Linked DNA regions of Ovis aries. The protein of the gene in region 1 binds, or shares a complex with, the protein of each later gene. Links are inferred from orthologs where the notes say so. Each region holds a gene or a part of one and is shown in the gene's direction. Other genes may lie near its edges.

What was found. Proteins that work in one complex are often made in the same cells at the same time.
Region 2: DHX16 (region 1) and SRRM2 share a complex: the UniProt entries of both Homo sapiens proteins name them as parts of the minor spliceosome. The link is inferred for Ovis aries from reciprocal best matches to the Homo sapiens genes DHX16 and SRRM2.
Region 3: DHX16 (region 1) and GPKOW share a complex: the UniProt entries of both Homo sapiens proteins name them as parts of the minor spliceosome. The link is inferred for Ovis aries from reciprocal best matches to the Homo sapiens genes DHX16 and GPKOW.

The regions. Positions count from the first base shown.
Region 1 is NC_056073.1:27,448,901-27,458,424, forward strand, and holds the start of DHX16 (pre-mRNA-splicing factor ATP-dependent RNA helicase DHX16), read left to right. Parts: upstream 1-4,020; 5' UTR 4,021-4,176; coding exon 4,177-4,383; intron 4,384-5,720; coding exon 5,721-5,971; intron 5,972-6,054; coding exon 6,055-6,217; intron 6,218-6,510; coding exon 6,511-6,567; intron 6,568-8,527; coding exon 8,528-8,782; intron 8,783-8,981; coding exon 8,982-9,185; intron 9,186-9,264; coding exon 9,265-9,456; intron 9,457-9,524. UniProt on the Homo sapiens protein: Required for pre-mRNA splicing as a component of the spliceosome. Contributes to pre-mRNA splicing after spliceosome formation and prior to the first transesterification reaction.
Region 2 is NC_056077.1:2,803,230-2,812,756, reverse strand, and holds the start of SRRM2 (serine/arginine repetitive matrix protein 2), read left to right. Parts: upstream 1-3,441; 5' UTR 3,442-3,648; exon of another isoform or gene 3,649-3,656; intron 3,657-4,003; exon of another isoform or gene 4,004-4,484; intron 4,485-6,746; 5' UTR 6,747-6,776; coding exon 6,777-7,018; intron 7,019-7,933; coding exon 7,934-8,041; intron 8,042-8,231; coding exon 8,232-8,396; intron 8,397-8,560; coding exon 8,561-8,638; intron 8,639-9,050; coding exon 9,051-9,113; intron 9,114-9,208; coding exon 9,209-9,241; intron 9,242-9,459; coding exon 9,460-9,510; intron 9,511-9,527. UniProt on the Homo sapiens protein: Required for pre-mRNA splicing as component of the spliceosome. As a component of the minor spliceosome, involved in the splicing of U12-type introns in pre-mRNAs.
Region 3 is NC_056080.1:55,985,223-55,995,080, forward strand, and holds the start of GPKOW (G-patch domain and KOW motifs-containing protein), read left to right. Parts: upstream 1-3,772; 5' UTR 3,773-3,925; intron 3,926-4,785; 5' UTR 4,786-4,932; intron 4,933-6,553; 5' UTR 6,554-9,858. UniProt on the Homo sapiens protein: RNA-binding protein involved in pre-mRNA splicing. As a component of the minor spliceosome, involved in the splicing of U12-type introns in pre-mRNAs.

The DNA.
Region 1 (9,524 bases):
ACAAGTTATGAGAATGGCTGGCAGAGAATCCAGGCTAAATGAAATGAGTGATCCTGCTGTTACTAGTAGTAGCAAGAGGCACTCAGGATGTGGGAGATGTTATAAGATTTTCTGCATGCCAACTGGCCTTCAGTGTGGGGAGTGGGTGGGGAGGCGGGAGATGGAGACCCTCTCTCATCCTCTATCCTTGCTACCTCCTCTTGCACAGATGAGTCTTGCCGGAGGTGACCCTCTTCCAACACGGAGATATACCTCCCTCCTTCCTGGAACTGAAGATTCTGGAGCCCAGAAGGTTCAGAGCAGACAGACAGAGACCCTCAACATGAGCCTGGCAGGGAAGGGCAACCAGCATCTTTCACCTTACTTTCCTCTTCCTGTTTCTGGGGGCAGAGGCAACCGCTCAGTTTCCACCCTCCTCAGACACGCTGGTGCCTCCTAGGTGATCCTAAACCCCCATCCAGTCCTGGGGAGGAGCACAGAGCTCACAGGGCAGGGGTAGAGATGGAGCACCCTTGCCATCTCCACGGGCAGGGTACGCTCTCCTTGACTCCTTCCTGCCCCCTGGAGGCTCCCCCATCTCCCAGGGAGACCCAGCCCCCACTGCATTTCCAGCACCTCTCCCTCCTGTTCCTTAGGTCCCTGCCCCTTTGTTTACAGCTCCTGCTGCTTCTCTTGACTACAGCCTGGTTTACAGCCCCCCACCCCCACCATCCCCAGCCCCACCTGCCAAAGTCCTGGGTTTACAAGCCACGCCTACTTGCGTGTCCATGTAGAATCCTCTTCCCTGTCCCCTGAAGTCCCCGTACTGGGGGGACCCGGGGTACGGCTTCCTCCATTTTTGCTCAGTATTCCCGTGTCTCACTTTCCCCGAAGAGGGAAGGCTGGGAATCTTGACTCTGTATCCCCCTCTAGTTATTTAATTCTGTTCCTCCTGGTGGTTCACAATTGAATTGAATTGCGAGGAGGGTGTGAGGTGAGTCATGAGGGACCTCAACTCTCTTCCCCCCGTGTCTCCTTCCTTCTCAGTTGCCTGGGTTTTTGTTTTTCGTTTTTATTTTCTGTAATAAAATGGAGCTCTCTCCGACTCTCCTGCTGCTTCTCTTTCTTTTGAAAAAGGGAATGGGGGTGGGGGAGGATGGAGTGGGTTCTGGGTTCCTCATTCCAGGCCTCTCTCACCTTCTTACTAGCCATAAAGAGGAAGCAGCCGTGGCTGTGGGAGGGGAAAATATGACAGGGAACCAGAAGCTCAGCACTGACCGTGGAGAGTGGGTTCTGGGAGAACCTGGCACTGGTCTCTCCAAGGACCAACAGGAGAGGGACTGGGGAGTTTTTGTTGTTGCTTTGGTTTGGTTTTGTTCTTGCTGTGCCTCTCAGCTTGCGGCATCTCAGTTCCCCAACCAGGGACTCATCCTGGGCCTCCATGATGAAATCATCAAATCTTAACCACTAGACCACCAGGGAACTCCCTGTTTTGTTTTCTCTCTTTTTTAAAAAAATTAAATTAAAAATTGTTTGGACTTCCCTGGTGGTCTGGTGGTTAAGAATCCGCCTGCCAATGCAGGGGGCACAGGTTTGATCCCTGCTCCAGAAGATGCCTGCTGCAGGGCAACTAGGCTGGTATACCACAAATACTGAGCCCGGGTACCTAGAGTCCATGCTCTGAAACGAGAAAAGCCACCACAGTGAGAAGCCCTCCTGCCCACCTCAGCAAAGAGTAGCCCCCACTTGCTGCAACTAGAGAAAGTTCATGCACATTGAAGACCCAGTGCAGCCAAAAATAAATAAACTATTTAAAATGATTTGAAAATAATTTTTTAAATTATTATTTTTTTAAGTCTAGGGCTGGTTTGAGAAAGGACAGTTGGATCATCCACCACACTGGACATACCATGATAATAAACAGTCGGCTGGGTTCACTGCAGCATCCCCATGCCTGGCACCTGATAGACACACACAATTATCTTTAGAATGAATGGACGAATGAGCAGATGAAAGGAGATAAAAATTTGGAAGCAAAGGACACTCTGAATTGAAAGATTCTGGTATCCAGAAGCCTAGTGCAAGGCAAGCAGCCAGAGAGTGTATGATTAGAAGTGGCTAGCTAATCCAGGGGATTTTACTCCAAGACTCAAGACTATAAGTAATAAATCTCTTGAAACTGCTGCAAAATAGTACAGAGGGGCAGATTCCTGAAAAGGGTCTTCTCTGATAGACAACTGGTTTTACATTCCTAAAGTTTTAAGAACCATAGATAATTCATGGCTTTGTGGCCCAACTATAGTTGGCACTGGGACACTTTCCTGTTTCACTGAATTTGTATCTTCTACGTGTGGAATATTTACATTTTACTTATCAGATTTTTTTTTTCCAGTTCTCCATGCTAATAAAGATATGGCAGATATAGTCCTATCACTACAGGAAGGTCCTCCTTTATTAAAAACAAAATGTATTAGAAAAATTGATTTTAAACACATGCCAGATATGTTCCCAGCAAGGGAATAAGCAAGGTGTCAAAAGAATAAGCCACTTCAGAGAGGGTGTGAGTATGGAGGGAGAGTACTCACATTAGTAGCTAATTAGGTAAAGACCCTAATTAGTTTTGACCCAGGAAAGCAGAAGTAAGAAGCTCTGAGATGCCAGGGGTGTTCACAGTCCATTTCAGAAACAGAAAACAGTGCACTCATGACATCAATGATGTGGAACTACTTGTGGCTGTTAGTTGGAATAACAAATGTTTAGTTTCCCAACACAGTGTCAGATAAATCCAATTAATTGTACAAGTATGAAGCAGAACCAGAGGCCAGACAGCAGTCAAGCAACAAGTTCTGCTTATTTAAAATTAAGCAGACACCAGTGACTTTCTCAAGCTGTTAGCAAAAGAAAAAAAAAGCAGAATACAATTTGCATATTTCTTAGTTTGCAGATCTTTTAAAATAACATTATGAGATAGCACCAAGAAAAGAGGGTACCTTTGCTTGTTCTCCACATCTTGAGTTTTCATCTGCCTGGAGTCCTTGATAAGCCTAACCTGTATTCATGTCTTGCAGAAGGTCCTAGCAAAGGTCACTCCTAATTAGTTGATCTGTAACAAGCATGGACCTGATCTTCTAATTTGAATGCCCCACCCCACAAGCGCCCACACACACCTTGCATTATTTTTGGCTCCATATAACTTAGTATTTTATATTTTTATCTTGTCTCTGTCAGGCTGGTCCCCACCCCCAACCCTCTGCCACTGTAAATTCAGTAAGCGATTTGTTTCTGATTTGTTCCTTGCTATATCCCTGGGTACTAAAACTGTGCCTGGCCCACACTGAAAGTGTTGGTCGCTCAGTTATGTCCGACTCTTTGTGACCCCATGGACTGTAGTAGGCCAGGTTCCTCTGCCCATAGAATTCGCCAGGCAAGAACACTGGAGTGAGCTACCATTTACTCCTCCAAGAGGGTCTTCCCCACCCAGGGATAGAACCTAGGTCTCCTGCATTGTAGGCAGATTCTTTCCTACCTGAGCCACCGGGCATTTTGCTGCTGCTGCTGCTAAGTCGCTTCAGTCGTGTCTGACTGTGTGACCCCATAGAGGGCAGCCCACCAGGCTCCCCCATCCCTGGGATTCTCCAGGCAAGAACACTGGAGTGGGTTGCCATTTCCTTCTCCAATGCATGAAAGCGAAAAGTGAAAGTGAAGTCGCTCAGTCGTGTCCGACTCTTCGCGACCCCATGGACTGCAGCCTACCAGGCTCCTCCATCCATGGGATTTCCCAGGCAAGAGTACTGGAGTGGGGTGCCATTACCCACCTGAGCCACCAGGCACTTTAGGTTCTTAATATAGTTGAATGAAATGAATGGGTGTAATACTCACGAATGATCAACAGAGGGCAACAGAAATTCAGTAGGGGAAGAAATGAAAATGTTTTATTCCGAGCTTCGCGTACAATTACGCGAGATTTGAACTCGCTCGGCCACCGTAGTGCATAGGCCGGAAAAGAGCAGCCACTTCCGGCCTCAGCGGTCCAGGAAGATTGTTTTGGACTATCGGAAACCGAACCCCTCGGTTCTCAGGCAGCTCCATTCCGGAGCAGAGGCTCCATCCTGGAGCTCTAGGCCCCCGACCCGCCCGGCCGCCGACGTGGCAGCTGGAGACACTTTCAGGGCCGGGAATAGGGAGCGTGTTGTCGCCATGGCGACACCGGCGGGGCTGGAGCGCTGGGTGCAAGACGAGCTGCACTCGGTGCTGGGACTGAGCGAGCGGCACGTGGCCCAGTTCTTGATCGGTACCGCGCAGCGCTGTGCCTCGGCAGAGGAGTTCGTGCAGCGCTTGCGAGACACCGATACCCTGGACCTCAGTGGGCCGGCCCGGGACTTCGCCCTGAGACTCTGGAACAAGGTGCTGGGAGAGGCGGGACCGGGCGTGGGAGCGGCGGGAAAGTGGGTGGAGCAGGGGAGGGGCCCCCAGGTTACTTGTCCAACGGAGTTTGGGCTCACTTGGGCTAACTGTCCAACGGAGAATTAAGCTCAGTTTGCAAGCAGTTATCACTTTCGGGCTGGACGACCACTTCCGTGGAGAAGGTTGAGGAGGGCTTAAGGGTTGACTCATTGGAAAAGACTGATGCTGGGAGGGTTTGGGTGGGGGCAGGAGAAGAAGGGGACGACAGAGGATGAGATGGCTGGATGGCATCACGGACTCAATGGACGTGAGTCTGAGTGAACTCCGGGAGTTGGTGATGGACAGGGAGGCCTGGCGTGCTGCGATTCATGGGGTCGCAAAGAGACGGACACGACTGAGCGACTGAACTGAACTGAACTGAACTAAGGGTCTACAGAGCAGTGTTTCTCAAACAGGTTTAGGATTCATCCACGGCTTTTGTTAAAATGAGGATTCCGATTCGGTAGGTCTGGGATGGTTTCTTCATTTCTTCATTTCTAACAAATCTTGTAAGTTTTCGGGTGATGCTGGGTGTTGCCCACCCTTCGAAGAGTGAGTCTATAGAAGAGATGTGTGGGCAGTGTTGTGGGAGGGTAGAAGTGGTGTGGCTGTGATCGAGAAAAGCAGGCCCAAAGATTATCTGGAGTTTGTTGGGTAAAGAAAGGGGAAGAGTAAAGGTGTAATGGTGAGCTCCTGGAAGGCAAGACTGTGATTTTTGTCTTTGTATTCATACCATCTAATTGTAACCTGCAGAACAAGAGCTCAGAAATTATACAGTAAGACTAAAAGTGTTGAACTTGTTCATGGCAGATAACTTGGTGTGGCTGTCCCATTTGCACTTGGTGAAAGATGAGAACGTACTTGATGTGAGGGTAGGAGCTCTGTGTTAATCCGTTCACCAGGGTATCTCTGGAGGCCACTACAGTGCTGGCCCGTGACAGGGCTCTGCAAAACAATCTGGACAATCCTTGTCCAGTCCTTGGGTAGGAATGACTTAGTCATCGGGAAGAACAGAGGCTGAGCAGTTGAGAATTGAGTGTGAGAATGTAAAGTCCATGAGGGCAGAAAGTTTTATCTCTTTACCCCTATATCTCTAGTACCTAGCAGGGGGTGCATGGGATAGGCTTAGGAACTGAGAGACCCCATTCGGGCTGATGGACATGGTGTGAAGCCTTGGGGAAGAGACAGAATGACAGCTGGTTTAAGATCAGTTACTCCTTAAATTAGGAACTGGGCAGAGTAGGTGGGCAGAGATCAGGAGTTGCTTACATCCCCTTGACTTCTCTCTCTCCCGACAGGTCCCACGGAAGGCAGTGGTGGAAAAGCCAGCTCGGGCAGCCGAGCGAGAGGCCCGAGCCCTGCTGGAAAAGAACCGCTCTTATATGTTGTTGGAGGACAGTGAGGAGAGCAGCGAGGAGACTGTGGGCAGGGCTGGGAGCAGTGTCCAGAAGAAGCGGAAAAAACGGAAACACCTCAGGAAGAAACGTGAGGAGGAAGAGGAAGACGAGGAGGAGGAACAAGTTTCTGAGAAAGGAAAGAGGAAGACAGGGTAAGTCAGAAGTAGGGGGCGAGAGGGTGATGGAACAGGAAGCCTCTGAGTGCCCTCAGTTAATCCTCCGGGGTGGGCTGCAGGGAGAAGAAAGAGCAGACGGAAAAGCCGGAGTCGGAGGATGAGTGGGAGCGGACAGAGCGAGAGCGCCTTCAGGACCTGGAGGAACGCGATGCATTCGCTGAGCGGGTTCGGCAGCGGGACAAGGATCGGACTCGCAACGTCCTGGAGCGGTCAGACAAGAAGGTGCATTGGAGCAGCACTTCCCATCAGTCCCCAGGCAGACCCCTGGATCCGATCTGAGGTTGGGTGTGACCGCAGATAGTGATCTCTGGGAAGACAAGGAGCCGCCTCCAGTAGTCTGGTCATCTCTTTGGGTCTTTGGGCTAAGGTGGCTCTCTGCTGAACCTGTAACCACAGAGATTCCTCAGTGAAGGGGGTACATTTCTTTGTGCTAGGGAACATCTGAGTGATCCTTGTGATTCTAGACAGGAATGGCTGTGGGCACGGGGACTTTGACCACTCTTGCCTTCTCCTAGGCTTACGAAGAGGCTCAGAAGCGCCTCAAGATGGCTGAGGAAGACCGGAAAGCCATGGTGAGTCCGTGTGCCCAGGAAGACAAAGGGAAAGGCTTCCTGATGGAGTGGTTAGGGTAGGGAGGAAAGATGCAGAGGAGGTGTGGTGGGGCTGTTGGGTCTCTGGTTGAGGCGCCAGCTAAGGATAGACTTAAACTGTAGTGGGAAGGAAGTGGCCCAGAAACCCTCTGACTCCTTAGGATCAGATCAGACTGTATGTTAGTGAGGGAAGTATTTCCCTGTTCCTGGGACTTAAAGAGGTGTACTCAAAAGGCAGCTGGAAGGTCAAGGGGCTGGCTGGAGGACAGGGGCAGGGCAGGGGTCACACTGCCCAGGGATGTGCTGACCGCTGAGCTTGTGCACACCATCTCCCGGTACCTTCCTATCATCTAATCCCTCCGTTTCCCCACCCCGCCTCCCCCTCCCCTGGGCTTTGTGATTACCCACTGATTTTCAGAGTTGGTCTTCTCACTGTACAGGGACTGGGCCCTTAACGATTCATGCCCTAGACTTGTTACTGGGGAGCCTCGGTAGGGTTGCAGTTTTCTGAAGGCCTGGCCTTCCCATGTCAGTCACGCTTAGATTTCCCCCAAAGAATTTCGAGACTCTTGGTGTCTTAACAATGCCTTAGTGGCCATCGGGTCCCCCCGATGTATCCATCTCAGGTTACACCCCAGAAAGTGACTGTAGCCAGAGACTTCTGAGATGTCTCTTGGTGCTGATGTAGTATTTTTACTTGCTTGAACTTTTCTTTCCTTTTTCAATTATGAAAATCTTCATAATTTACACAAATAGGAAAGTTGAAAGAATAGCATAACAACATCCATCCAGGCTTTTTGGATTAAAAAATTGCTAATACCACGTGCAATATTTTCAGTGTTTGTGTAAATGGCAGCTTTTTGGTCCTTTTTGAACCATATGAAAGTTTTAGACATTGTGGGATTTTATCCCATCAGCACGTCCCTGGTGCCTGTAGACATTCTCACACATTGCACTGTCTTAGCCAAGAAGAGGGGTCTCATGTATCAGCTAAGAGTCGGCCCACAATAAGATTTCTTCAATTATCCCAAAATGTCTTTAATAACTGCTTTTCCAAACTGGAATCCAGTCACGTTTCATGCGTTGCATTTGAGTGTGAGGTCTTTTCAGTTTGTTTCATCTTCCCCTTCTCTCTTTCTTTCTGTCTTATCTTGTACGGCATGTCCTACATTCTGGATTTATCTGATCCGTTATCTTGTGGTGTTAAGTTCTGTCCCAGTGCTTACTTTAAAGTGGAAATTGGGTCTTGCAGCTCTCTTAGACTCAGATTAAATAGCTGTAGCAGCAGCGCCTCTTGGGTGGTGGTGTGTACATCCCATGGTGGGGCGAGGGGCGGGTACTGTCCAGCGGTGTGCCTGTCAGGCTGAAGGAGAATTTGATTGTGGTACTCAGATCAGGTCATGAGCATAAACTCCATTTTAGTGTATCATGGAACAAAAAAACCAAGCAATTAAGTATTGAGCTGGCCAAAAAGTTCATTGGCATTTTTTCCATAAGATGTTACAGAAAAGCCGGAATGAACTCTTTGGTCAACCCGATACACTCGGCCCCCGAGGGGAGGGCCCCTGGCAGATTTTGAGTGTCTCAGTTGTTTTCAGTTGCAGACCTCTGCCTCCACATCGTCATGTTTTCTCCCTTTACACTGAGTCGAATGAAATAGCGAGGGTAGAATAGAAAATATGCACATAATCATCCTGGTGAGTCGATGTTGGCAAAGATGGTGAGGCTGCCTGGAAGGACCGTCCGAGCTGCTGGCAGGCAGCGTGTGGGCCCTACGTCGGGCTCCTCGTTAGGCTGTTCAGTGTAAAGGGAAGGGCGGTGGAGGTCACATCTTTAGGTTCTCCGGGCCGGCCTGCCCAGGAGGTTGTGCCTCTTAGGGGGACAGGGGAAAGGGGTCACTCTTCTAGCGAGGGGAGGCTCTGACTGCCCTGGCCTGACCCAGGTCCCTGAGCTGAGGAAGAAATCCCGCCGAGAGTACCTGGCCAAGCGGGAGCGAGAGAAGCTGGAAGACCTGGAGGCCGAGCTGGCCGACGAGGAGTTCCTCTTCGGGGACGTGGAGCTGAGCCGACACGAGCGCCGGGAGCTCAGGTACAAGCGGCGTGTGCGGGATCTGGCCCGGGAGTACCGGGCGGCTGGGGAGCAGGAGAAGCTGGAGGCCACCAATCGCTACCACATGCCCGAGGAGACCCGAGGACAGGTGAGGCGAGGGGTCACTGCTCCAGCCCAGGTGCCCGAGCGGAGGGAAGGGAAGGCTTTGGGGACTAGGGCGGCGGCTTGGCTTGCCCTCTCTTGTCTTGCCTTTCTCTGTGGCGGTAGCAGCTGGGGAGGGGGCGCTGGGCAGAGAGGGCAGCTCTGTCTCCATGTCCCCCTGTCTCCATGTCCCCCTGTCTCCGTAGCCTGCACGTGCAGTGGATCTAGTGGAGGAGGAGTCCGGCGCCCCTGGGGAGGAGCAGCGGCGCTGGGAGGAGGCCCGGCTCGGGGCAGCATCCCTGAAGTTTGGGGCCCGAGATGCTGCCTCCCAGGAGCCCAAGTATCAGTTGGTGCTGGAGGAGGAGGAGACCATTGAGTTTGTCCGGGCCACTCAGCTCCAGGGCGATGAGGTGAGAGTGGGGGGCACAGGGACGTCCTGAGGAGGCCGGCGCCGGCCCTGATGCTTACGGCCCTCTCCCTCCTCCTTAGGAGCCGTCGGCCCCGCCCGCCCCCACTCAGGCCCAGCAGAAGGAGTCCATCCAGGCCGTGCGCCGCAGTCTTCCTGTGTTCCCGTTCCGCGAGGAGCTCCTGGCCGCTATTGCGAACCATCAGGTCCTCATCATCGAAGGCGAGACGGGCTCGGGCAAGACCACCCAGATCCCACAGTACCTCTTTGAGGAGGTACGGCAGCCACGCCCTCAGTTGCCACTGACCCGAAGCTGTGCTGGCAGCTCCTTGTCGTGGGGTTT
Region 2 (9,527 bases), on another chromosome or scaffold:
ACTACATTTGTCTTTACCTTTTGCCCTAGCAATCCAACTTCTAGGAATTTCCCTTGAAGATACTGTTGCAACGCTATAGCCTTGTAGCCTAATAGGCTCCTCTGTCCATCGGATTTTCCAGGCAAGAATACTGGAGGGTAAAAAAAAAAAAAAAAAGAACACTGAAGGGATCGCCATTTCCTCCTCCAGGGGATCTTCCAGATCGGAATCGAACCCCGGTCTCCTGCATTACAGGCAGATTCTTTACCACTGACCCACCTGGGAAGCCTACCTTGAAGATATACACCCCGACAAATATGAAAATATGTATGCACCTGGTTACTCACTGCAGCATGGTTTGTGATCACAAAACACTGGAAACAATTTAGGTGCTCAGATATAAAAGAGTGGGGCTTCCGTGGTGGCTCAGATAGTAAAGAATCCGCCTGCGATGCAGACCTGGGTTTGACCCCTGGGTTGGGAAGATCCCCTGGAGAAGGGAATGGCTATCTATTTCAGTTTTCTTGCCTAGAGAATTTCATGGACAGAGGAGCACGGTGGGCTATAGTCCACAGGGTTGAAAAGAGTTGGACATCACTGAACAACAAACACTTTTACACCTTTTCACTTTCACAAACTAGAAATTTCATGAGAAAATTGGTTCACTCCTTCTTCACTAAATGACCTGAATCAGATCAAAGTCAGTGTTGGCAGTAATGCAGCTACTGGGCAGAACGTGTCTCTTCCTACTGTACACTGAGAACATGTATCACTTCCCTGGTCTTCCTGCCAAAAATGTGTAACCTGCATTTTAAAACTATGATGAAACATCAGACATACCCACATTGAGGGACCTTCTACAAAATAAATGGCTTGTACTCTTCAAAGATGGTAATGCCACGAATTACAAAGAATCTGCAACCCTTCTGGATTAAGATGTCTAAGAACACAACATTTATGATTTTGAATTTTCTTTTGCTATTCAGGATATTATCAGAACAATGGATAACACCTCTATATAAAGTTTGTGGATTATTTCAATGTTACTTTATTTTGAAAACTGTACTGTGGATATGTAGGTTTCCCAGGTTGCACAGTGGTAAAGAATCCACCTGCTAATGCAGGAGGTGCGGGTTTGATCCCTGGTTTGGGGAGATCCCCCTGGAGTAGGAAATGGCAGTCTGCTCCAGTATTCTTGCCTGGGAAATTCCATGGACAGAGGAGCCTGGTGGACTATGGTCCATGGGGTTGCAGAGTTGGACACAACTGAACAACAGAGCACAAAGACTGTGGATATGTAAATGAACTTGTAGTTCTCATAATTCATCCCTTTCTCATAGGAATAGGATGTTCTCACAAGCATTAAATGCAGTGATTCACAATCAGAACTTAGCACAAAATATTCAGTAAATACAGGTGAAACTATTTACCTCAGATTGGGACTTGAATCCATGTGCTGGGATTTGAACCCAGCCAAAACCCTGCTTGGGACTCTAACCCACAGCTTTCCAACTGAGATTACACACCTGGTTTCAGGACCTAATGAAGCTCAGGTTCTTGGTGTCTCATGGCAAAAAGAACTCAGTAGATCAGGATGGCGGGGCGGGGGTGCAAACGTGCACCTGTGGCTGATCCCTGTCGTGTGGCAGGGGCTACCACATTGTTGTGAAGTGATTGTCCTCCAATTAAATCAATAAACTAAAAAAAAAAAAAATCTCAGCGAGAGATAGTGATATGTAAAAGTTAATTTATTTAGAGAGAAACTCAATCCACAGAGTGTGGGCCATCTCAGAGGGTGAGTGCAGCCTCACAAGGTGGTGTAGTTAGCTTTTATGGACTGGGTAATTTCACAGGCTAATGAGTGGGAGGATTCTTCCAACTAATTTGGGCAAGGGGCAGAGATTTCCAGGAATTGGACCACTGCACAGTTTTTGGTCTTTGATGGTTGGCCTTGAACTGTCATGGGGCCTCTCCATGGGTCATCTAGCTCACTGATATGTTAAAATGAGTGTATACTGAGGACAATTCTAGTCAAATTTGACTTGTCTGCATCTTGAACCCATTTAATTCTAATCAGTGTTTATCTTGGGTCCTCAGGATATTATATCATTTTTTGATTGTGTCCCACCTCCTACCCTCCTATCTCTTGGGAAGAATATCATCGAGAATTTGGTTACAGGAAAGGGTCTTACTGAAGGTAATGGGTTTTAAGAAACTATCACCCTTCACCCTCACCTGAGAAATATCAGCTTAAGCCCAGAAAGGACAGGCTTTTCCACTTTGCCATAAATCACTCCAAAGGTGCATCCAACTCCAGGAAGCACTTGCCAGGAGTTCAAGAAGGTAAGATTACATCAGCCCTGGCACCTTTAAGCCAAAGCTACAGCTCCTACACCAAGCAGTAGGTTGCCCCGCTCCAGCATATGAGGTGAGTTATCTTTCCACGATTACAAAGAAAACCTAGTAACATCAGATACAAAGTCAAAGGGGCCACAGTTCATTAAGTGGCTGCTGGTATAAGCTGCCCCCACCCCCACCCCAAACAGAGATAACCCAGACGACTGGCCTGCCTCAAAAACTCAGCTTCTCCCAACTCTGCTCCGAGGGAGACTAGCTGGTCCTCAGGCTGAAGCAAAACGGACTTAAAAACATTAACTTAAGACATTCTGCACAGGGCTGACAAGCTTGGGGCGGGGTGGGGGTGGGGGTTGTAATGTTTTTACCCTGCCACGTATGTAACACGCTTCATGTTCTGCAGGAGAAAACTGCACCTCTGTCTGGCCCCTTACTCGCAGTCATAAAAAAAAAAAAAAATCATTCCTCAGGGGCAGCCAGCCCGGTTCAGCGGATGGAAGCTGCGAACACCACGGTCTGCTGGCTCAGCTCTTGGCTCAGGCCCTGGGCCTGTAGCTGGGCTCTGGGATAACCCGGGTGTCCGCCGCCCAGGGTCCGGGGGGCGGGTACTCCTGGGTCCGGAATGATAGGTGCAGCACAGCCCCCGGGCTCACCCCGGGAGGCGTGCGGTCACTTGGAGGAAGCGGTATTATTGGCCTCGGGCCCATTGCCTCCTAACATGAGGAGACAAAATGGCGGCCTCGTGGGGGCGGGGGAGAGCGAAGCTACCTCCGGGTTCCACGCCACACTAGAACTACAACTCCCAGCATGCTCTGGGCCGAAGGCGGGAGCGATCGAGGGCTAGCGACGCTAGGCCCTGTGTCCTCCTGCTCCCCGTCGGAAACCCCCTGGAATGCGTTGCTTCCTCCGGGCCGCTCCCGAGACCCTCCTCGCAACTGCCTGACGGGAATCGTAGTTCATCGACAACAGAGTTGACTCTCCTTCGGGACTCAAGAAACTACACATCCCGTGCTGATTCGGCGCCTGCGCACAAGGCCGCGGAGCGTACTACGGTTCCCGGCGGGCCTTGCGACGCGCGCGGTTGCGTGCTGACGCGTTTAGTTGGTCGTGCTGACGTGCAACGCGGCCCAGGCGGGGTGCGAGTGGCGCAGTCGGAGCCCGCTGCGGCCCCTGAGGAAGCGAGGAGGCGGCGGTGTCGGCTGAGTCGGGCGGACCGGCGAGGCAGGGCCGCTGCTCCAGGCCCCGAAGGACTCAGGAGCTCGATCTGCGGCAGCACCTCTCCCCCTCGGAGGCGGCGGGTGGAGGCGGCGGCGGGTGAGAGGGTGAGGGAGCGAGCGAGCCGGGTGGGGGAGGGGCGGCGGCCCCGGCGCCAGGCCAAAGCGCGCGGAGAACGGCCCAGGCCGCCGCGCGCACGCGCGCTCGCCGCCCCTAGCTCGCGCGGACGTCCCCGCTCGCCTGCCTCCCCTCCCCCTCTCCCGCGGTTCCTGTCGCGCGCGGGCTTTTATTCCCCCTCCCCCATGGCAACGACGCGCGCCGCCGAGTGCACTTGGGCTCGCGCGCGTTCTCGGCGAGGAGTGGGTAGCGCGCGACTCGGGCTTCTCGTCTCCCAGACGCGTGCGGCGACGAGGCCCTGTTGCAGCTGTCCTTGCCGACATCTTGTTTGCGGGGAGGGGGCTGCGGCGGCGGGGGCCGGCTGTCGGCTCCTTTGCCCCGCGCCTCGCCGGCGTCCGGCCTGTCCGTCCCTCCCCGGGGCTTGGGGTCTGGTCCTGAGCCTCCCAGACTACCGGGCGCCGCGCAGCCCCCTCCCCCATCCCTCAAGGCCGAAAATAGGTCTTGGCGGCTCAGCCTGTGCAAAAAAGGTCTTGAACTAGATATCTCCTCGATTTAGGCAGTTTGGATTCGTTACTGTCTGCCATGAAGTATTAAGCGAAGCATTCAAAACGTTTTTTTTGTTTTTAATTAAGTACTCAGTCTAGGTATGTTAAGGCAGACCACGTGCTCTTTTCTTTTCTTGCACCTTTTCATGGTCTCCAAAGTTGTGTTGAAGCTGGGAAGGCGGCTGCCAGCCCTTTCTTGAGGAGAAAGCGCAGGGTTTTATTATAATTTGACTCAAAACTCTTCCAGACCTCGGTTTTCACGCAAACGCTTATGTAAGATATCTTTTGGGTCAAAAATTTTTAAAGTTGTGTTGTGTTTCCTTTTGAGTGTGTTGAATCTAGGCACTCTCTTACTGAGCTAGTACTTCAGCTTTCTGGGTTCCATAGTCCCTCGTCAGCTACTGTGGTGCCCCAGTGCTGAACTTGATGTGCTTACGTATTAGTTTCATTTTCCTGCACTCTCCGCTCCCTTTTTCCTGCGTTTCTTTCCTTGACTGTCGTAATACTGAATTTTAAGACTCCTTTTGTCTTGTTTAACATGTGATAATTCTCCAACAGAAAAATGCTTTTTATCTTCTTTTGCAGCTTGCTTTTCATCTGCCTTTAGCTTTGGTGACTTTTGCATGCCCGTAGTCCGTGGATCCTAGTTTAAGTGTCTCCATTTGGGTTTTGGTGATTTGTGTATATGTATTATCGATACACTCCTCCTGTCTATCTGTCCTTTGTGAGCATTGTCTTGGATGCCATGGTATTTCTGTTTTTTGTTTGTTTTCTTTGCTGGGTCATTTTCTAAAAGTAGTTTGTTGTGATTGAATACCCTTTGCTTAGCAGCTGCTGGTTATCCTTTTCCAGGGAGTGGGAGGATTATTGTGTGAGGTGGTATGGAAGTGTGGGTGAATGGTTAAACTGAAAAATTAATTGCAGGTCAGAAGCTTTCTGCTAGGGAAGCAGAAACTAGGTAGGGTATAGAGAGCCAGAGAAAATCTAGCTTAAGAGCAAGGAGAAATTTTGAGAAAGTAAACGTGAAGGTTGGAAGATTTCTTGTACTATAAAGAAATTTTTCGTTTCACACAGTTCCACTTGCCTTTCCTAGATTTAGCATCATCCTTTACCCCAATATGGTTATTTTTTTGTTTTGTTTTCAGATCTCTAGAGTCTGCAACTGGGATTGGGTAGGGACCCAGCCTTAGAGTTGGGGGGGAAGGGGTACCAAACTGTTCTAGAGTTGAGCTGTCTTCTTTTCATTCAACATCTACCTGTAAAGGGGGAGGTTGGTACATTTTCCCAGGTGTTTATGTTTCTTCCAGAGTATTTTAAATGGAACTTTTCTTTTTATCCAGTTCTGTGTTTTTTTTCTTCTGCCTTCACTAATATCTCAACTTTGTTCCTTGGGTTCTTTTCCTGGGGTCCTTTTCACTCACACATTTCCTTTGTGAAACTATCTTGGACAGGAGGAGTTGGAGGAAAAAAAAAGTACATAGAGCAGGAGAAAGGAATAGTCTGTGTAGTCAAGAAACCTAATCAGAAAAAAACTAGCATTTGAGGGTTTCTTCAGAGTCATGTGGGGCTGGATGAGAAAAACTAGGCAGTAAGGTAATGAAGGGACTGTTAAAGTCAGCAGTTTGACTTTAATGAAGGTGAGGGAGAAAGAGTGGGGTTTTTGTGACTAAGTGTAGGGAAAGGATGTAGAGAAGGTATGGGGAACAGTTGGACTAGAGGAGACTGCTTTGATACATAGAGAGTTTGAGTTGGAAACGCAATCTTTTCGTAGGAGCTAGGGAGACTTGGGTGAGCCACAAACCATGTGAGAAATCCTATTGGGAAGGAAATTGAAGAAATAACATATCAGTCAGGATAGTTGATATGCCTCTTACCTGAGAGATGATGTATATGAGGATTATGTATCCAGGCTTCATGTGTTTCTGTAGTGCGTGCTGGCCTTTTAGGTTAGGCCTCCTTTTGGATATCAAGGGGTTCTCGAGTCAATTTGTAGTCATAATTTCTGGCTACGTTCAGGGTAGCTAGCCTGAAATGCCTAGGTCAGTTCTTGGAAGACTCTAGACTTGACTGCAGGCCCTTGTGTGCCACAGATCTCTCTCTCTCTCTCTCTGTTTTTATTTTTTGTTGGTGTTTGTTGTGCCCTGTTTGGAGGCCTCAGTCAGTTGCCAAGGAATCAGAGTAGTTGGTAAAGATATCACTTGTGCATATTGGGTTCAAAGTAGAATAAAGGGATAGTGTGGAGAAATTTGGGAGAAATGGGATCTTTGGGGGTGGGTAAGGAAAAGCTAGGTACAAACAGAAGTGGCTCTTGCACACTGAGGGTAAAGACTGTAAGAGCTGGTCTTGATTTGGTAGAAAGTGAGGGAAGGATGAAGGAAGGGTTTGTTTAGGAGACCAGGAGGATTATGCAGCCAAAGGAGGTTTAGTGTGGAGAGACCTGTTGAAGTAGGGTTGAAGAAGAGCAGGGATTTGGGTGGTGGTGAGTGGCTAGTTTGGGGCCAGGGGCCTGACCCGTGTCTCCCCGCTCCCCCTCAGGAGCGGTGGTGCCCCCCCGGGCACGGGGCCATGTACAACGGGATCGGGCTGCCGACGCCCCGGGGCAGCGGCACCAACGGCTACGTCCAGCGCAACCTGTCCCTGGTGCGGGGCCGCCGGGGTGAGCGGCCTGACTACAAGGGAGAGGAGGAACTGCGGCGCCTGGAGGCTGCCCTGGTGAAGCGGCCTAATCCTGACATCCTGGACCACGAGCGCAAGCGGCGCGTGGAGCTGCGATGCCTCGAGCTGGAGGAGATGATGGAGGAGCAGGGGTGAGGGAGGTCTGGGGGAGAGCCACATACCCAGCGAGTGCAGAGCTGGGGAGTTAGGTGGGCTGTAGGGAGTGTTGGGCAAGTTGAAAGAGGCCTGGAGAGGAGTGAGTTGTAGGAGGGGAGGTGGTAAAGAAGCTAGCAAATTGAAAGGAGTTGAGGGGCAGTTCAAAGTGGAACCTGTGTCTGGAACATAAAAGGGAGCCTGAGGGAGTCTGAATTATTTAGATGAAGGCACAGGGGGAAAGAGAGGGGCCATTGAGAAAAACATGCTTTAAGGGAGAGGTGGGGAAGCAGACTAGGCAAGACACAAGAGCTTGGTAAGCTGATATGTTGTCGTCATTGGTAGAGAAAAGGAAGGTGAATGGATGTGAGGGTCGAGGCCTTGGAGAGTAGCAAAGGAAGACAGGAAATTGGAATAACACCTGGATAAAGGGGATCATGAGTTGGGTAGGGAAGTGAAATTTGTGGAAAACGAGCATGTTCAGGCAGAAAACCTTTTAGAGCAGTGGTTTTCAAACTTCAGCAGTGGCGTCCCCCCTGTTTTTGTTTTTGTTTTTTTGTTTTGTTTTTTTAACAATGCACGTTACTTCAGAATCCCATGAAATGAAAGACCTGTTCATGTTGATTGAAGTTGGGGAGGAACACTTGGAACTCTGCCTGCTTAACTTTCCTCTTTTGGCCCTGGAGTGTAGCATGTTTAAAATCCACTGTTCTAGAGGGTGTAGTCAGTGGAGGGAAGAAAGATTACAGGAAAAGAGCAGAATTTGATAGGAGGGCCCTTTGGGTGACAGTGAGTGAAACATTTAATGTGTGCATGGAAAGGGAAGGGGTCCTGCTGGGAACGAGGGAATTGTAAACCCAGGTCTGGGGAGAGTGTCTGGTCAGGCTCTAACCCTGAAGGCTTTTGTTCTTCAGGTACGAGGAACAGCAAATTCAGGAAAAAGTGGCGACCTTTCGACTCATGTTGCTGGAGAAGGATGTGAACCCTGGGGGGAAGGAGGAGAACCCAGGGCAGAGGCCAGCGTGAGTGTTTCCCTCTCCATTTTCTCTGGACTCTCTTCTGCTTTTGCTGTTTTCTCTCCTTACTGTGGACATTCTCCCTGCTCTTGTCTGCCTTTTCTCATGGCTGTTTGGTCCATGCCTGCAATTGTGTGAATATGGCTCTGCGTTTTGTTGTCTATCTCCTTTAGACCTTTGACTTTTTCTCCTCTAGGGTAACTGAGACTCACCAGTTGGCAGAATTGAATGAGAAGAAGAATGAGCGACTCCGAGCTGCCTTTGGCATCAGTGATTCCTATGTGGATGGCAGCTCTTTTGATCCCCAGCGTCGTGCTCGGGAAGCTAAACAACCAGCTCCTGAGCCTCCCAAACCTTACAGGTACATGAGATTAGTGTCAGTTTCTCTTCCTAATTCTAAGTGCTTTGCTCCATTTTTTGTGTGTGGATTATTTCTTTCATATTCTTCAGATTTTGTTCTGAAGTTGAAATGTCTCAGAAAATCCATCTTAGCACCCATCTTTGCTTCTTTTCATTTTCACTCAGCCTTGTCCGGGAGTCTAGCAGTTCTCGTTCACCAACACCAAAGCAAAAGAAGAAGAAAAAGAAGAAAGATAGAGGACGGTAAGTTAGTTGGAAAGTTATTTTAGTAGCCAGAGGACCGCACCTGTCAGGCTTTTTCTCCTTGGAAATAGAAAATTTCTATTTCTAGGAAGCAGGAGGGAGTTGTCAGGAAAGTCAGGGAAGAGGAGTTACCATTCAGGTCTCAGCTGAGAGAAAAAATATGTTTGCTGCTTCAGTGGGAAGGGTTGATTATGTAGCTCTGCAGGACTGATGAGAATTTTGGTACTGTACTCTCTTTTGAGGTTTGTTGTTATAGGTACTTATGCTGCTTAGAGAGTAAAGTTCTGGGTGTAGATCTGGCACATAGGTGCTGTTGGAGTTGTTCTGTGCAGCCTTCTGAGGATGGATCGTATGTAGGGTGGGCCAGGGAAGGAGGCAAGCTGAATGACCCTGTTTCTGAACCCATGTTTAGCAGGTCAGAGAGCAGCTCTCCTCGACGAGAGAGGAAGAAGAGTTCTAAGAAGAAGAAGCACAGGTATGAGGTGGGAGTACATGGAGTGATGGGAGAAGCTTAGTGAGTTCAGGCATAGATAATGGTTTATGTTTTATTTATTTATCTTTTATCCATAGGTCAGAATCTGAATCCAAGAAAAGGAAGCATAGGTAAGCGCTCTTTGTGGCAGAGGGAGGACAGTGGCACATGGAGTGATGAGCCATTGCTACCTGATGGCTTTGTTTGCCTTTTTTTTTTCTCCTTAAAGCTCAGTTCCTTGATTTCTTGCTGTTGATTCTCCTGAATAACAATTCTTCCCTTTCTACTTTTGGCGGTCTTTTTCTTTAAAAATGATTTTTATTTTAAATAATCTTGCCTTATTTCCCAGGTCTCCTACTCCGAAGAGCAAACGTAAATCTAAGGACAAGAAGCGGAAGCGGTGAGTAAATTAGAGGG
Region 3 (9,858 bases), on another chromosome or scaffold:
TTCACATACTAGCAAGGTCATGCTCAAAAATCCTCCAAGCTAGGCTTCAATAGTATGTGAACCAAGAACTTCCAAATGTACAAGCTGGATTTAGAAAAGGCAGAGGAACCAGAGATCAAATTTCCAATATCCATTGGATCATAGAAAAGGCAAAATAATTCCAGAAAAATATCTACTTCTGCTTCACTGACTATGCTAAAGCCTTGACTGTGTGGATCACAACAAATTATGGAAAATTCCTAAAGAGATGGGAATATCAGACAACCTTACCTGCCTCCAGAGAAACCTGTATACAGGAAAAGAAGCAACAGTTAGAACGAGACATGGAACAATGGACTGGTTCAAAATTGGGAAAGGAGTACGACAAGGCTGTATATTGTCCCCCTGCTTATTTAACTTATATAAAGAGTACATCATGCAAAATGCTGGGCTGGATGAAGCACAAACTGGAATAAAGATTGCTGGCTGCTGCTGCTGCTAAGTAGCTTCAGTCGTGTTCGACTCTGTGCGACCCCATAGACAGCAGCCCACCAGGCTCCCCTGTCCCTGGGATTCTCCAGGCAAGAATACTGGAGTGGGTTGCCATTTCCTTCTCCAATGTGTGAAAGTGAAGTTGCTCAGTCTTGTCCTATTCTTAGCGACCCCATGGACTGCAGCCTACCAGGTTCCTCCATCCATGGGATTTTCCAGGCAGGAGTACTGGAGTGGAGTGCCATTGCCTTCTCCGAAAGATTGCTGGGAGTAATATCAATAACTTTGGATATGCAGGTGATACCACCCTTATGGTAGAAAGCAAAGAGCTTTAGATGAAGGTGAAAGACGAGAGTGAAAAAGCTGGCTTATAACTCAACATTCAAAAAACTAAGATCATGGCATCTGGTTCCATCACTTCATGGCAAATAGGTGGGGAAACAGTGACTACAGACTTTATTTTCTTGTGCTCCAAAATCACTGTGGACGGTGACTGCAGACAGGAAATTAAAAGACACTTGCTCCTTGGAAGAAAAGCTATAACAAACCTAGACAGCATATTAAAAAGCAGAGACGTTATTTGCCAACAAACATCTGTATTGTCAAACCTATGGTTTTTCCAGTAGTCATGTATGGATGTGAGAACTGGACCATAAAAAAGGCTGAGCGCCGAAGAATTGATGCTTTTAAACTGTAGTTTTGGAGAAAACTCTTGAGAATCCCTCGGACTGCAAGATCAAACCAGTCAATACTAAAGGAAATCAACCCTGCATATTCCTTGGAAGGACTGATGCTGAAGCTGAAGCTCCAATACTTTGGCCACTTGATGAGAGCAGCCAATTTATTGGAAAAGACCCTGATGCTAGGAAAGATAGAAGGCAGGAGGAGGAGGGGATGACAGAGGATGAAATAGTTGGATGGCATCACTAACTCAATGGACATGCGTTTGAGCAAGCTCTGGGAGATGGTAAAGGACAGGGAAGCCAGGCCTGCTGCAGTCCATGGGGTCACAAAGAGTTGGACATGACTGAACAACTGAACAAGTAAAGTGCAAACTGATACACAGTGGAAGAAAGTATATCAGTGTCAGGGGTGGGGAGGACAGCAGTAAGGAAAGAAGACTCACACGGGGCAGGAGAAAACATTTGGCAGTGAGGATTATGTTCCCTGTCTTGAGTGTAGTGATAGTCTCACAGATGTAAACACTTTGAAACTGTGCCCCATAGGGTCAATGTTTCTGTTCTCGTGACAGAGATTCTTGAGCTTGTCTTACAGAACGGCAGATTTGGGAACAGCTTGTTAAAGATCACTCTGCTTTGTAACCTGCCTTCACTGACTTATATAAAGAGTACATATAACAGTACTTATATAAACAGTACCTATATAAAGAGTACATGCCTTAATTATTTTTGACTCCTTCACCACTCCCTATTATCTATAGGTGTTATCACACCTCTGACATATGGGTTGCTATAATAATGAGGGCTTTGTGTTGTTTTTCAGGAACTTGGAATTAGATATTGTCCAGTTCAAACTGGCTAAGATTGGTTGGGACCACCGACCCCAAACTGGGCCTGCACAGGAGTATGATGAATAACCTTTTCACATCACATGGTCCACCTTCAGATCATGGTGCACCTCCATTTTTGCACATGCATCCCCTGAAGCCGCATAAAACTCATATACACCTGCACAGAACACCTGTTAGGTCACCTTTTCCCTACCTCTAATCACTTTTCCCTGGGTCAAAGACAACCCTGCTTCTTTATCTCATAAATATCTCAAGCCCTGTGCCTTTTGGGAGGCACTTTCCTTTCTCTGCTGCAGATCTTGGTGTCTCATCCTTTGACTTGCTGCATGTTAAGCAAATGAAACTGGTTTTGTCACAGGTTCAAAACCTATCAAATTTTATGTCAATTAACCTGCAATCTCCTAAAGAAAAGAAAGATTTGCTTAAATTAATCAGAATTGGGTGGGGTTGTTAGAGGGACTGACCTACATCCGTGAACCAAGTGATGCTAAAAGGGGCAAAAGGATTATTTTCAGGAATGTCTACAACTAAGAGGGGCGTTCGATTTTTTTTCTTGCCTCACGGGGCATCTTAGTTCCCTGAACAAGTATTGAACCTGGAAGCAGTATATGAGAGTCCCATTTCCTGGACAAATTCACATACAGTTGGTATGGTCAGACGTTTAATTAACTTTGGCCATGCTAATATGTGTGTAGTGGCATTTTGCCATGATTTTAACTTGTATTACCTAAAGACTAATCATATTAAGCGAGGTTCACATGCTTATTTGCCATCTGTATATGTTCTTTGGTAAAGTTTGTGTTCACATCTTTTGTCTGTTTTTTCCTCCACAAAGTGGTGGCCACAGGCCTTCTCTCACCCCTCCCCATTCCTCCTGTCACTAGAGTGGCACTCTGCCCATGGGCTTCCATCTTGGGGGCTTTGTCTCCAGACACTCTCACCCCATTTCAAACCTAGGGGGAGCCTCATTACTCCCCTCTCATTGGCTAGTGTCCCCGCCCCCAACACACACCCTATGCCTTCAAAGCTTCCTCAAGTCCAGGCTCCTACTGCCCCTCCACTCTCCAGGAGACCTGCCCTTCCCTACTTTGGGGGTCCACCAACCCTATCATGCTCAGGGCCCTGATACCTCCCAGGGTTCCCAACGACTCTCAGGGTGCCCCCACTCCTCAGGCCACCATACTCTTCCAGTTCCCCAGCAGGGAAACATTCAGTGCAGATTGACTGACTGTCTACGATGTGGAAGGGACTTCCCAGGTGGCTCAGTGGTCAAGAATCCGCCTGCCAATGTAGGAGTCTCAGGAGACACGGGTTCGATTCCTGGGTGGGGAAGATCCCCTGGAGGAGGCCATGGCAACCCATTCCAGTATTCTTGCCTGAAGAACCCATGGACAGAGGAGCCTGACAGGCTACAGTCCATGGGGTCACAAAGAGTCAGACACGACTGAGCGACTTTCCACGTAAGATGTGGAAAGCTCTGTTGGAGGCTGCAGTACACCTCGGTAAACTTGGGTTCCGGTTTTGCACCCCATTTTTAGTTGTGAGAGCTCAGGTGGGGCCTTTAACTTCTCTGGGCCTCGACTTTCCCCTCTGACACTGGAATAACAACATCCCCGAGGTGGAAAGAGTTTTCCCTTGGTGATGGGAAAGAGAGGCAGCGGCTGAGGCAGGGCGAGGCCAAGAGTGCGCGCTGGCTCCCAGGGCCAGGACTCCTTGGCGGCTGCCAGGTAGGTCACCGCGCTGGTTGGGGCGCTGAGCACGGGACCGGCCGGCTTCAGCCACGTCCAGGCCCGAGCTGGCCACCAGGTGAGCGCTCCCGAGCGCTCCCAACGCGTTTGCGGGCGGCCGTGCGTCCACCAGGCCAAGTACAGGTCATGGAGCGGCGCCCGGGGGGCGGCACGGACCCTAGGGGAAGCAAAGGAGGTACCGGGCTCGGGGTGGGAGGGTAGTGGGCACGTCCCTGCCAGCCCTCACACTTCCTGTCTGCTCCTCACCTTCTCCTTCTGACAGGTGGTAAACAAAGCCGCCCTGGCGCCCGAGCCGCGGCGGCGGCGGCGGCGGCGGCGGCGGTGGAGGGCAGCGGCCCAGCGACCCCAGCTGGGCTCGAGGAGCCGCACCCCCATCCACACCTGCGCCGCGGGGCGGCGCACCAGACCCCGGGACTCCCAGGAGTCTCCGGGGAGATGTGCTGGAGGGTTCTGCCCAGGATCACTGGGGACACCTGGGCACTGGGCGGGGGGGGGGGGGGGCTGTTAGAATCGGGGGGGGGGTGTGTGTCTGTTGGATTGTGGGAGGTTAGGCTGGAGCCTCTGGGGATAGGTGGAGGGGCCATCTGGGGCTACATGGACCAGCAGGGTTACCTAGGACATCTAGAGGGGCATCGGGAGTGCCTGGGCCACAGGGAGCAGACCGTGTTCTGTTGGGACATCTGGGAGAATCGCAGTCCTTCTGGATATTGGGGGGAAGAGTTTGGAATCTGGGGTTGTGTCGGGGGGGGCCCGTCAGAAACCTCCAGAGATATTCACAGGGTGTTCGGAGGTGTCCAGGAGTGCTGGAGTTAAATAGCTCGCCAGGGATATCGCGGGAGCAGGCGGGGGTCCACGGGCATTCCCGTGATAGTCGGGGGTCCAGGGAGGTGAAAGGCACAGTCGGTGACCTTCGGGACTCTGAAAAGGAGTGGTCTCGGGGATCTTGAGGGGAATTCTAGGTCTTTGATCGTAGGGGGCCGTGAGGGTTCGCTGAGACTCAGGGTGGGCCCTGATCTGTTCTTTTCACTCGCGCAGGCGGTGGCGGTCCCCAGCCCGAGGGCCCCCGCGCCAGACAGTTCCTGGCGCGGCTGGAAGCTCGCCCCCTGGCGGCCCGAGCTGCGGCCGACGTGGCGGCGCTGGTACGCAGGGCCGGCACCACCGTGCGCCTGCGCCCCAAAGAGGGTCAGTGACGGAGCGTGGCCTTCCGGGGGCGTGGTCGGAGTGGAGGGTGGTTCTGAGGAGGCGGGCCCAGGATTGTTAGTTACCCACCTTGGTGTGAGGGCTTCCCTGGTGCCTCAGAGGGTAAAGCGTCTACCTGCAATGCGGGAGGCCCAGGTTCGATCCCGGGTCAGGAAGATTCCCTGGAGAAGCAAATGGCTAACCCACTCCAGTACTCTTTCATGGAAAGTTCCACGGTCGGAGGGGCCTGGTAGGCTACAGTCCATGGGATCGCAAAGAATCGTACACGAGTGAGCAACTTCACTTCTCTTGGTGGGACCAATGAGTGTGAATATGGAGGCCCGCGCTTGGCTGTGATTGGAGGGTCCTGGTTTTAGCCTAGAATATTCCTCTAGGAGGTGACATAGAGAGGGTTATTGGAGTAGTTGAACGCTGCAAGAGTAGCTGTGGGTGCGGAGCTTGATATTTATTTTCGTCAGCGGAGTTTCAAGTGGTATTTCTGAGGAGGCCGTGCCTGGAGAGGGTTGGGGTCGGGCACTGGCTGAGGGGCAGGCCTGGAATGTTAGTCAAGGGGGCGGAGTCTATAAACGCACTGGGAGTGTGGCTGGAACTGTCAGGAATAATAGGTTGAGGTTTTATAGGCTAACTGGTCTTCCCTCGTAGCTCAGTGGGTAAAGAATCTGCCTGTAATTCAATTCAGGAGACCCGGGTTTGATTCCTGGGTGGGATGATCTCCCAGAGTAGGAAATGGCAACCCACCTAGTATTCTTGCCAAATCCCATGGACAGAGGAAGTCTGGCGGGCTATATAGCGCATGGGGTAGCTATAGTGTATGAATCGGACACGATTTAATGACTGCTGCTGCTGCTAAGTCGCTTCAGTCGTGTCCGACTCTGTGCGATCCCATTGACGGCAGCCCACCAGGCTCCCCCGTCCCTGGGATTCTCCAGGCAAGAACAATGGAGTGGGTTGCCATTTCCTTCTCCAATGCATGAAAGTGAAAATTGAAAGTGAAGTCGCTCAGTCGTGTTCGACTCTTAGCGACCCCACAGACTGCAGCCCACCAGCCTCCTCCGTCCATGGGATTTTCCAGGCAGACTTAGTGACTAAAACCCGGCTAATTAGAGAGCAGGACCTGGAATCCTGGAGAAGCACGGCGTAGGGTGGGCCTAAGGGTTTAAAATGAGGGGCAAAATCTATGTTTTATTTGAGGGATGTAGGAAATTTGGAGGATTGCTTGAATATTTGTTGCCAGGGTTGTTAGCTAAGAAGGTGGGATCAGGATGGTTATTCGGGTAGGTGGAGCCTGGATGATTACTAGGGTCTCGGCTTACATAGTAAGAATGGTGAAACCCGGATGTGAATTCAAAGAGAAGCGGCTAGAATGTTTATATAGGGAAGAGCCCTATCCAGTTTCACAGGACCATCATTAAAGATTTTCTTTAGCAATGTGGGAGACCTGGGTTTGATTCCAGGAAGATCCCCTGGAGAAGGGAATGGCTATCCACTGCAGTATTCTTGCCTGGAAAATCCCGGACCGAGGAGCCTGGCCAGCTACAGTCCATGGGGTTGCAAAGAGTCAGATAGGACTGCAGGACTAACACTAGTCTCTTTTATTCTTTAGCCCTTAGAATACCAGAAGGACAATGACATCATGGATTTGTCCCAAGATGCCCTTGCCTCCTAGGAAGAGTTCCTGGCATGTCAAGTACAGTTGGTTTTAAAAGTCTTGCATTGCACTTCCCTGGTCGTGCAGTGGCTAACGTTCAAGGCTCCCAATGTAGGGGGCCAGGTTCAATTACCTTGGGGAATTGGATCCTAAGTAACTAAGACCTTGCACAGCCAAATAAATAAGTATTTTTTAAAAAAAACTTGTGTAATTTTGGGAAGCTTGAACTATCCATCTTGCCAATATTTCCTTCATGAATCTTGGGTTATTGGATTGTGAGAGAGGGTGGAAGAGAAAGATGGGAGCTGCAGGAGAGCACTGAACAGGGCCATGCTGAGAATCCAGCACAAGCTTTGAGTCAATATTGGATGTCTCTCCATTTATTTAGGTCTTCCTTAATTTCTTTCAACAATGCTTTGCATTTCCTAGAGTACAATTTTTATGCTTCTTTTGTTAAATTTGTTCCAAAGTATTTTTATTATTTTCAGGCTGTTGTGAATGAAGTTATTTATTTCATTCTTGTCTATAGAAATACAATTTATTTTTGTATATTGATTTTCTATCCTGTAACCTCGTGAAACATTAGTTCTAATTGTTTTTCAGTTGGTTCCTTAGGATTTTCTATGTAATGACATTTGCAAATAGAGATGGTTTTATTTGTTAAAAAGGAAACAATCAATGCAAAATGGAGTGACTTGTGCTAAGCTCCACTGATATTTAATATCTAACCTAATTGTACTTGCAGGCTATCCTAGGAATCGAATTTTAAGCCAATTAGTCTGTGAGGTTTTTTTTTTTTTTTTTTCCTGGTCAGCCCTAGTGAGGTAATCTGCTTAAGACATCCTCCCTTCCCTTCAAGGTGACCTTCCCAGAAATAATTCACTGTTTAAATTGTGGTTTAGTCACTAAGTCCTGTCTGACTGTTGGGATCCCATGGACTGTAGCCCACAGTCTGCTCTGTCCATGGGATTTCCCAGGCAAGAATGCTGGAGTGGGTTGCCATTTCCTTCTCCAGGGAATCTTCCTGACCCAGGGATCGAACACGCATCTTCGGCATTGCAGTCTCCTGCACTGCAAGTGAATCCTTTGCCACTGAACCACTTACTTGTCCTTTCTTTTGTCAACATTTTCCAATATGGATGCTTTTTATTTCTTTTTCTTGCCTACTTTTCCCAACTAGAATTTCAGGTACAATATTGAATAGAAGTAGCAAGAGCAGACATTGTTTTATTACAGATCATGGGTACAAAGTATACAGAGTTTCATGATTGAGTAAAATTTTAGCTGTTTTCCGGACCCACTGTTTATGATAAGAAGCCTGCTTGGGACTTTCCTGGTGGCCTAGTGGATAAGAATCCGCCTGCCAGTGCAGAGGACAAGGGTTTGATCCCTGGTCCGGGAAGATTCCACATGTGTTGATGTCCTTTAATGGACCAGAACCTGGTGGTCTGGAATCGATGATGAGAAAGTGAAAGGAGAGAGGCTAATATTTCCTGGGTTGCAGCCGGCTTTTGTGTTCCAGGAAATCAGCCAGAAATAGAGAGAGAGAGAGAGAGAGAGAGAGAAAGAAAGACATGGGACCAAAGCTCTGATGGAACAAAGGTGTTTTAATCAACATGGTGTGGGCATATATACTGTAGTTATTCTCAGCAAAGATAAAGATTAAAATTCCAGACTTACAAAACATAGGCGATCCATATTAAAGAGAGAGTTGTAAACAATCACTTTTACCCTATGGTTCATAAGAAGAAGAGGGTACTTATCACCATATTGAAAAACTAACGAAGGAAATGCCTGGATCCCTGAGCCCCGGGAGAGGCTTGCCTATAAGGAACAGAGGATTCCTGACAGATCCAGAACAGCACACAGGAAGCCTCCTGTTAAATGCTTCCTGACACACATGCCAAGGAGCAACTAAAGCCCTTGAGCCACAACTACTGAGCCCGAGTGCTGCAACTACTGAAGCCCCTGTGTCCAGAGCCTGTGTACCACAATGAAAGAAGCTATCCCAGTAAGAAGTATGTGCACCGCAAGGAAAAGTAGCCCCCGCTCACTGCAACTAGACAAAGTCAGTGAGCAGCGATGAAGACCCAATGGAACCAAAAAAAGAAGACTGCTTGTAATATTAGTTACCTTGGGGTTACCTTGTAGATTAGTCATTTTTCTCTTTGTTCTTTCAAGGTTTTCTCTTTGGATTTTAACATTTTTGACTATGATGTGCCTAGGTATCTATTTCTTTGCATTTATCCTGCTTGGAGTTGGTTAAGCTTCTTGGACATGTAGATTTTAGCTATTACTTCTTTGAATCTTTTTGGCTCTTCTCTCTATCTCCACTTCTGCTTCCCCATTACACATATGCTGGTGCACCTAGTCGTGTCCCATATTTGTCTGATGCTCTATTCATTTTTTTCTTCATTCCTTTCACAATCTGTTCTTCAAATTGCATAATTTGCATTGAACTCTCTTCTAGTTCATTGCTCCTTTCTTCTGCTAGCCCCAAAGAGCTACTTTTAGTCCTTCCGCTTTTTTTTTTTTTTTCATTTTGGTTATTGTCCTGTAGATGAAAAACTAATTGGTTGATTCAAAAAAGAAATGAAAAATTTTATTCAAGTCAAATTTGAGGATTATAACCTGGGAAGAGCATCTCAGAAAGCTCTGAGAACTGTTCTGGCCCTTAGAAGTCAAGATACAGTTATATGTTTTTTGAGACAGAGGGCTATACATCAAGTGATGTATGATGGTTTACATAATCCAGATCTAAGCATCATCATGGTAGGTCATGCTACAAGATCAAGAAAGAATATTGTCTTTTAAGGAGTTGTCTTGTTGATGCTTGAACCCGCTGTCTTTTAATTAAGATTTTTGCAGGAAGGGGGACCCCTTCCAGGGCCTCAGAGTGGACTCTTGTCTAACACTCTGTTAGACAGTTCACTCAGAAAGGAACTGTCTGAGGAGACCCCTGTGCTGACAAAGCAAGAGACTGTATTGGGAAAGGGCATCTGGGTGGAGAGCAGGAGGGTAAGGGAACCCAGGAGAACTACTCTGCTATGTGGCTCAGTCTCGGGTTTTAGTTAGTTTTGGGGTTATCTCTGGACCATGACTCTGACTCAGAGTCCCTCTTCCATGGCATGCACACTGCTCAGCCAAGATAGATTCCAGCAAGAAAGTTTCTGGGAGGTTGGTAGGATATATGGACTAGCGTCCCCCTCTCTCCTTTCCTGAATTATTTCGGTTGTTGGTAGCGTGTTAGTTCTTTGTTC